Linked DNA regions of Saccharomyces cerevisiae S288C. The protein of the gene in region 1 interacts with the protein of each later gene in a pairwise test. Each region holds a gene or a part of one and is shown in the gene's direction. Other genes may lie near its edges.

Region 1 (4,273 bases):
GACATGTGGAGAGAAGCTTCTCTTCCTTCACATTTCGCATTTCATGATCTAAAGTGGTTCTTTCACAATAGAAGAGCACCAACACGAAATATGGCTGTCGGTGGTAATAACTGGAGCATGTGGCTGCGAATGTCACGGGTCCACCTCAGGCAGATCACGAAGTCTCTGGACCGAACGCTGATCAGTTTGAGCCATGGGAATTTTTCCCACCAATATAATCGCAATATTTTTGTCACTTGGTGGAAGAGCCTATTTGAGGCTTCTACAGCTTTTAGGAGGGCAAGTGGTTTAACGGTATCTCCTCTCACGAGGAGAGGAATCGCAAGGTTTGACCATTTCAGACCTGTTCCCAATGTCAGTAAATTTGCTTCTTTTCCCAGAGTGCCCAAAGGAGCCCCAAGGGGCCTTTTTACCAACTGGAATATGACTACATCAAAGAGATTATTAGGGCAGAGAGCTTATTCGACTTCCAGTATCAAATTTACCCAAGAAGCCGTGAATAACATGACTATATCTTTGAGGTGTTTTTTCAACTCACTAGGCGGATTAAATCAGTGCTCCCACTCTAATTCCTGCAAAGCTTATCAGAATGCGTCTAATGTTACCTCTAAACAGGATCACGTCCAACCAGTTGCCCTTAAGAAGTTATCTCAAAAGGATATCAATTTCATTCGTAATTTAGAACTATTTAAGATAATGAAGACCCAGAATGAAGTCGTTGATGAAACAAGCGCATATTACATGGAAAAACCAGGTTCCTATATTGAATTTACCATTTCAGAATTTAACGTTAATGGGACATTCTCCGCACCTTTGTCATTTTTAGATCCTTCTTTGTTAGCGGATTTGGATGAAATGATTAGAAATTACAAATACGAATTAAAATCAATATACAGTAGTGTTGACATGATCTTGCAGAATTATGGATCATTGCCGATAACTTTTCATCGAAATAAGATTCGAATACATTTTCCAAACTCAACTGTGGTGGAAACAGAAAAACTAATTGCAGGTCTGAATATTGCTACGGGTGTTATTTACGCAGATACGTCTCCCGATATCAGTCTAGAAGGTACAAATTTGAATGCTCTGGTTAATGTTGACAATTCAGGAAGCGTATGGTCTTTTGTTAAGGAGCCCTCGTTTCCCTCTAGGAGCGCTTTTTCACCTATTTTATCAGATGCATCCTATGATACTTATGAATTGGTCTAGCAAAGACGTTGTTTCATCGCGCTATTACCAAGAAGGTTACTTTACTTGTTCTTGCACATGGACGCACGTTGTGTGTTCATATATATATATATATATATATATATATATTTGTGCTTGTTTTCATTGTCTCTATAGTTAATACATTCTATTTTTATCGTTATATTTGCATTCTCTTCGCATAAAAACTTCATGAAAATTCGGCAGAAAATAAGCCATATATGTACTTTATCCATAGGCAAAGAAAAGCACTTAACGAGAATATACAACAATTGCACTAGTACTGCATGTATATACTCTTATGATTATAGCGGCAAGAAAACAAATATAAACACACTAACAGATGAATTCGAATGAAGATATACATGAAGAACGCATTGAAGTTCCACGAACTCCCCATCAAACCCAGCCAGAGAAAGACTCTGATCGCATCGCTCTCAGGGATGAAATATCAGTACCAGAAGGCGATGAAAAAGCATATTCGGATGAGAAAGTAGAAATGGCAACCACAAATGCATCCAGTAACTTTGGCTCAAATGAAAGTGCAAAAGACGGCGAATCAATCGGCGCCTTTTCAAATCCCCATGAGGCTCTGATGCAGTCAAAATTGAGAGAAGAATCCCAGAGTAAAACCATACTACCATCCGATGACCTCAGCCAGCAATTAGAAACCGAAGAATCCAAAGTTGAAGAGGCTCTAAAAAGAATAACCTCACCCCCATTACCACCGAGGGCTGACTGCATAGAAGAATCTGCATCTGCTCTTAAATCCTCATTGCCTCCAGTGCTAGCAGGAAATAAAAATGATCAAGCCCCCCTTGACCGACCACAGTTACCTCCGAGGCAGGTAGTTAATGCGGAAACTCTTCATTTGAAGGCGCCCCATGGTAATGCGACTCCCTCCAAATCACCAACGAGTGCTGTAGGTAATTCTTCTTCATCGACCCCTCCAACCTTACCACCACGCCGTATAGAAGATCCTTTAGACTTGGCTGCTCAAAAACATTTCCTAGCGAGTACATTTAAGAGAAATATGCTCTTTTATAAAAGTGAAGATAACTCTATCAAATGTGATTTGGATAAAAATATACTAAATTTAAAAGAAGATTCAAAAAAAATTAACAACAATGAAATTCCTGAAGAGGTTAGTTCATTTTGGTTAAAGGTTATCGGCGACTATCAAAATATCTTAATAAACGATATCGAAACCTTACATTTCCAACTATCTCGAGGTATACCAGCCGCTTATCGATTGGTAGTCTGGCAGTTAGTAAGTTATGCAAAATCGAAATCCTTTGACCCTATATATGAAACGTATCTAACGGAAATGGCACCTTTTGACGTCCAGGAATTTGAAAATCAGCTAAAAATGATGGACGAAGTTCCCTCTGAATACGTAAAACGCATAAGTAATGTGTTAAAGGCTTATTTACTTTTTGACCCAGAGTGTGAGTTTTCTACCGACATTGCTTATATTATCAATATGATTCTTGACGTTTGCGAGGAGGAGGCAAATGCATTTGGTCTACTTGTACGCCTAATGAAAGTTTACGGTTTAAGACTCTTGTTCTTACCAAGTGCTTCTGAGATCGATATTCTTTGCTATAAATTTGATAGACTTGTAGAAGAATTTTATCCTGAAATTCACAACCACATGGTTGAAAAAGGCGTCCGTTCTTCCATGTTTTTGCCCGGTTTCTTCACGACACTGTTTCAAAAGAAACTTCCCACTGAAATTCAACCACGTATCGGTGATATGGTATTTTTAGAAGGTATTGACTCTATTATGAGAATTTTAGCCACACTTTTATCTAATTCCCGAGACCATCTGTTAAAAATGGGTTTTGATGATATGCTGGAGCTATTGAAATCAGGTCTGTTAGATGCTTATATTAAGCAGAATGATGGTACACGCGGTGACACTCTTCTCTCAAATGAATGTATGGATAAATTACTACAAGACTCTATGATGAAAGTAGCAATAACCCCAAAGACTATGAAGAAATATTCTTCTGAATATGAGGAAATTCACAGATTGGACAATGAAAAAGAAGTGCAATATAAGTCTATCACGGAAAAAAATTTACATTTACAAAAGCATGTTCGTAAATTAGAAAACGACTACACATCTTTAAATAGAGAGCATGTGACAATTGCGAACGAGTTAGTGAAAAATCGGCTTAATATCGAGTCTGTATTAAATGAAAATAATGGTTACAAACTTCAAATTTTAGATTTGAAGAAAAAGTTGGATTCAGAAAAAAAGAAGCAAGTTTTAGGTGTATATGTGCCCAATGATTTAAAGAAAGATTTGGAAGAGACAATGAAAAAGAATACCCAAGTAATGGACGAAAATTTGAAATTGCAGGATAGGATTTCAGAACTAGAAAGGCTTATTGAAGAAATAAAAACTGCAAACAAAAATGGTACGTTATTCGAATATTCTAATTCTAAAAATAATCCTTTGGGAGCCGGCTGGTCAGGATTTAAAAAGGTTTTTAAATAGTTAAACTGTGTATATCAGCTACTGCTCCCCTTGAATGATACATGACTAAATATAATGATAAATTTATTTCTTGATTTTTGATTATTTCATATTTTGTTGACATTTGAGAGCTTCAATTGTATAAAGTTGCAAGATAATATATGAGGTTAGGGAAGCCGGATAAAGAAAATAGAGTACTTTAAAACTGTTCATGGACTAAGAATTCAGTGACGATGAAGTAGTAAAGGAGAGTGTTTAGGATATAAATAAGACCGAGAAATTGTTAGTAAGCATTACTTCTAGCAGAAATAATGAACCACAATCGTGACAATATATACTCGAGTTAGCAGTTAACAGTAACCCTTTCCATACCATTCTAAACTTTGCAACAGTAAATATCTTGGCGTTTAACGTTTTATTTTATTCTACGTTTCTCAAATATCGGCTGTACTCATGTGGCACATCATGAAAAGAGCCTTCATATCAAGAATTCAAGAATTTTAATTACATCGTGACAACGGTTTCCTAAACTTTTAGTAAAAACAATTAAATGTGCAATTTTGTTGATTATACTGTGGA
Region 2 (5,649 bases), on another chromosome or scaffold:
ACCATTCTAGACTATGATCCCTTAGAGATTCTCATTCTTTAAATATCAGCTTCAACAGCATATCTTTATAGTATTATCGTACTACTGGCGACATTAGCAAATCAAAGTATTTTTGCTCAGTTTCTAGTTTTATCTGTTTGATTCCCCATTAGATGGTAAACACGTTGTCTTGATGACTGAAAAGGAAGTGAACATGGTCAACTCAAAATAACCAGACTCAAAATAATTGCAATTACCTAGGCTAGATATTTTTAGAATATTATGAGAATATTTTTAGAATATTTGCAACCCAAAATATATTTAAATGCCGCCAATTTGCAACCAAAAGATTATCCGCTACCTTTTTTTTAGTCATTGAATCGTAGCATAAAGTTCCGAGCTTTGAAAAAAAGCTTTGAACTAAGAAAAGGTAAGAGATCCTCAATTATGATATTACTCCAAGTCATATGCACGATTTGGACATGTCTCTTTATTCCGTTACTCAATGCAGAGGAATTCGTCCCCAAAGTAACGGAGACTCTTTCAGAATATTCATTTAGTCTAGAGAGCTTTGACGATTCCAACAGTTTAATCAGATTAGATAATCAAGTCGTGTGGATAAGTTCCGATTCTGGAGAAAATTGGGAAGCGGTCAAAGAAATTGAAGGGCATATTCTCGAATTAATTGTTGATCCTTTGCATGGACAGGACAGGGCTTTTGTTTCGATACATTTATCACCCAAATTTTACGTCACCGATGATCGTGGAAAATCATGGAGGGCTCTGACTATACCCGTCTCTGAAAACTGTCGTTTGGGTACTTCTTGCTCTATAGCTACCCATCCGACAGATAAAAAGTACCTTATTGCAGATTGCCCTTGCTTTATAAACGACAATGGTTATATCCAAATACAAAATGAAACTTACTTTACCAACGATGGGGAATCCTTTTACAATATCGAACCTTCCTTGAAAAAGAAAGAAGATGACCATATAACAAGTTCAAGCTGCAACTTTGTCAAATCTAGCAAGGATTCTGATATTGAGGGTAACGACGCTTCGATACTATGTTTGTTCTCGAACCATGGTTACGATAGCGATCGTCACTTAAGTGCCGCATATACACAATTAGCCTTAAGTACTGATGGAGGTAAAACTTTCAAAAAATTTGATGAGTTTAATGATAAAATTATTTATCAATACAAGATATTAAAATCACATATAATCGTTTCGACACAAGATGATAGATACAATGAAATGTCACCCATGGACATCTGGATATCCAATGATGCGTCTACTTTTCAAAAGGCACGTCTACCTGCTCAAGTACGGCACGTCCATATGTATGGAATTTATGAAGATTCTATTGGAAGAATAATCATTCCTATATCTACGATATTCACAGATGAAAAAAACGACCAACCAGCTCCCTCAGAAATTTTAATATCAGATTCTCAAGGGTTGAAATTTTTACCTGTTGAATGGACAATAAATCCTCACTTTGGTTATATTGATATTGCTTCTCCTCATTTCTTAGAAGGAACAATAATTGGCTCGTTTCATCCTTCCTTTGACTACTCTCATAACAAAGGAAAATATAATAAAAAGATAGCCAGATATGAAACTAAAATATCTGTTGATAACGGCCTCACATGGTCAAATTTGAAAGTGGTTGACGAGGAAAATGCAGATTCATTCCCTTGTGATATCACTAGGCCTGAAAGATGTTCGCTCCAGAACCCTTTTTATAGTATCTAAATCTCAAATCCTACTGCCGGAATTATGTTAATGACAGGTTCCGTTGGCGACGGTAGTGAATTCGATTGGGAAGACCAAAAAACTTTCATCTCTAGAGATGGCGGTTTAACGTGGAGATTTGTTCATAATTCTTCTGGGTTATATGCTACTGGTGACCTGGGAAATATTATTGTGTATATCCCATATGATCCAGAGGAAGATGGCGATTTTCAATCTGAATTTTATTATTCTTTGGACCAAGGTAGAACATGGAATGAATATGAGCTGACCAATGCCATAAGTTCTGTCCATCCCTACAAATTGATAAATCCAACACCAGATGGATCTGGCTCAAAATTTATTTTTAAAGGAACGTTTGCCACTACCGATTCCGAAACCAACAGTATAACTTCTTTAAAAGGTGTCGAGTATATAATTGATTTTTCAGCAGCATTCGACTCTAGAACGTGTGAGGAGGAAGATTTTGAAGATTGGGATTTGGCGGATGGGAAATGTGTTAATGGCGCCAAATACAAGTATAGAAGGAGGAAACAAGACGCCCAGTGTTTGGTAAAAAAAGCATTCAAAGATTTGAGTTTAGATGAAACGCCTTGTAATAGTTGTGGTGAATCCGACTACGAATGTTCGTTTGAATTTGTTAGGGACGCAAACGGCCTGTGTATACCAGATTATAATCTGATTGCCTTTTCCAACATATGTGACAAATCGAAGGATAAATCTGTGTTAGTAGAGCCATTACAATTAATCAAAGGTGATGAATGTAAAACACCCATGAAAATTGAACCCGTTGATATTCCGTGTGACGAAATTCCAGAGGAGGGTTCGAGTGACAGGGAAATAGTGACCACTGAAAACAAATTTGACTTCGAAATTAAATTTTACCAATACTTCGATACAGTTGCCGACGAATCTTTGGTCATGCTGAATTCGATAGGAGACGCCTATATATCCCACGATGGTGGACAAACAATAAAAAGGTTTGACACTAACGGCGAAAAAATTGTTGAAGTTGTGTTTAACCCATATTTCAATTCTTCAGCATATTTGTTTGGCTCTAAAGGTAACATATTCTCAACACACGATAGAGGACACTCTTTTATGATAGCTAAATTACCTGAAGCCAGGCAATTAGGTATGCCACTAGATTTTAGTGCTAAAGCACAGGATACTTTTATTTACTATGGTGGCAAGAATTGTGAATCAATCTTAAGTCCAGAATGTCATGCAGTAGCATACCTCACCAAAGATGGAGGTGAAACTTTTACAGAAATGCTTGATAATGCAATTCATTGTGAGTTTGCAGGCACACTCTTTGAATATCCGTCAAATGAGGAGATGGTTATGTGCCAAGTAAAAAAGAAGTCTTCAGAAACAAGAAGCTTGGTTTCTTCGATAGATTTTTTCCAAGGTGATAATAAAATTATCTTTGAAAACATTATCGGCTACTTGTCCACTGGTGGCTATATTATTGTTGCCGTACCTCATGAAGACAATGAGTTGAGGGCATATGTAACTATTGATGGTACTGAGTTTGCCGAGGCAAAATTCCCGTATGGTCAAGATGTTAGTAAGCAAGAGGCATTCACTATTTTAGGATCTGAGAAAGGATCGATATTTTTACATTTAGCAACAAACTTAGAATCAGGACACGATTTTGGAAACCTTTTGAAATCCAACTCGAATGGTACTTCTTTTGTCACTTTAGAGCATGCCGTTAATAGAAACACATTCGGTTATGTCGACTTTGAAAAAGTTCAAGGTCTTGAAGGTATTATTATTACCAACATCGTTTCGAATAGGGAAAAGGTTGGAGAGAACAAGGAAGACGAACAATTGAAGACGAAAATCACCTTTAATGACGGTTCAGATTGGAACTTTTTGAAGCCTCCAAAGAAGGATTCGGAAGGGAAAAAGTTTCCCTGTGATTCTGTATCATTAGATAAATGTTCTCTACATTTGCATGGTTACACTGAACGTAAGGATATCAGGGATACATATTCCTCCGGTTCCGCGTTAGGAATGATGTTTGGTGTCGGAAATGTTGGCGATAAGCTTCTACCATATGAGGAGTGTTCCACTTTTTTAACCACTGATGGAGGAGAGACGTGGACTGAGGTTAAAAAAGGCCCCCATCAATGGGAGTACGGTGATCATGGTGGAGTCTTGGTTTTGGTCCCCGAAAACGCAGAAACTGATTCTATTTCTTACTCCACCGATTTTGGTAAAACATGGAAAGATTATAAATTCTGTGGCGACAAAGTCCTCGTAAAGGATATAATCACCGTTCCCAGAGATTCTGCTTTGAGGTTTTTGCTATTTGGAGAAGCAAAAAACATGGGTAGTGGTTCATTCAGAACGTATACAATTGATTTTAGAAACATCTTCGAGAGGCAATGTGAGTTTGATATTACGGGTAAAAAAAGGGCAGATTTTAAGTACTCTCCTCTGGGTTCCAGAACTGGTTGTCTATTTGGTCATCAAACCGAGTTTTTACGTAAAACCGATGAAAAATGTTTTATTGGGAATATTCCACTTTCTGAATTTTCGAGGAACGTCAAAAACTGTTCATGTACGAGGCAAGATTTCGAATGTGACTATAATTTTTATAAAGCCAGTGATGGTACTTGTAAATTAGTCAAAGGCTTAAGTTCGGCGAATGGTGCCGATATCTGCAAAAAGGAACCCGACTTAATTGAATACTATGATTCCTCTGGCTATCGAAAAATTCCCTTATCAACCTGTAAAGGTGGGCTGAAATTGGATGCACATTTAGCACCACATCCTTGTCCGGGAAAAGAAAAGGCATTCAGGGAAAAATATTCTATAAACACCGGCGCTTATGCGCTGGTTTTTGTTACAATTCTTCTCGTTATTTTCTTTGCCGCATGGTTTGTATACGATAGAGGTATCAGGAGAAATGGGGGATTTTCAAGATTTGAAGAAATAAGATTAGGAGACGATGGGCTGATAGAAAACAATAGGACCGATAGAGTTGTCAACATCATTGTAAGACTAGGATTATGCATTTCTTTAATTACCAAGTCTGCATTTCAACGCACGAAGGCAGGTGTAGCACGCTTTTCTTCAAAATTAAGGGCAAGGTTTGGCAACAGAAAAGGTCCTACTTACTCTTCGCTGCTTCAGGGTCAGTTTTCAGATGAATCAGATGGCTTGCATGAAGATGCTAACGATTTATCCAGTTTCACAAGTCAAGACAGTAATTTTGAAATTGAACAAGAAGATGCTTACAGACCCGAACAAGAGCACACGTCACAGATAGACCAGCCTGCCACTAGCAATATTCCAGACGCATTGCCAGCACGTAGTGCTATTCACAAGCCTGATTCAACTGCTGTGCGCAACGAGGACGAGTAAATAGATTTTTTTAATAGACTAAATAATCGTATGTTTGCTAACAAAAAGTACGCATATGCATTTTCTCAATATTGTGCATTTTCTAAATCTCCATTCACCTTTGTTATTAACATAGTCATTTAAAGGTATGATAATTCAGTATTCATCTTTTCCACAGACGGCGCTGCATGCCATTCGTCTGTAACTTGCCTAGGGACTGCGCCGCACATAATCGTGACAGAAATTTCAAAAGTGATAGGAGCCAAAAGTGATAGGAGCCAAAAAGAACATATATAAGCACGATCAAATTAACTGAACTTGACCACTTTTCTTTCACTGTCAGAATTGGACGAAGGACAAAAATGTCAAATATCATTGCAAGATTTCACAAGATTCAAGTTCAAGACGGTGTAAAGGTTTGGTACCGTGAGGCCGGTGCAGCAGGTAACCCCACAATTTTATTGCTACATGGGTTCCCTACATCTTCCAACATGTTCAGGAACCTCATTCCCTTACTAGCTGGACAGTTTCACATCATTGCTCCGGATCTTCCTGGGT

The links. Proteins that work in one complex are often made in the same cells at the same time.
Region 2: the proteins of GYL1 (region 1) and YNR065C interact in a protein complementation assay, tested with the Saccharomyces cerevisiae proteins (one large-scale study listed by BioGRID).

Annotation. Positions count from the first base shown.
Region 1 is NC_001145.3:645,566-649,838, forward strand, and holds GYL1 (Gyl1p), read left to right. Parts: upstream 1-1,552; coding exon 1,553-3,715; downstream 3,716-4,273. Other genes in the region: SPG5 (Spg5p), read left to right, coding at 91-1,212. UniProt on the Saccharomyces cerevisiae protein: Probable GTPase-activating protein which stimulates the GTP hydrolysis rate by GYP5 of YPT1 and SEC4. Involved in ER to Golgi trafficking and polarized exocytosis.
Region 2 is NC_001146.8:749,813-755,461, reverse strand, and holds YNR065C (uncharacterized protein), read left to right. Parts: upstream 1-1,761; coding exon 1,762-5,112; downstream 5,113-5,649. Other genes in the region: YNR066C (uncharacterized protein), read left to right, coding at 427-1,737; YNR064C (epoxide hydrolase), read left to right, coding at 5,454-5,649.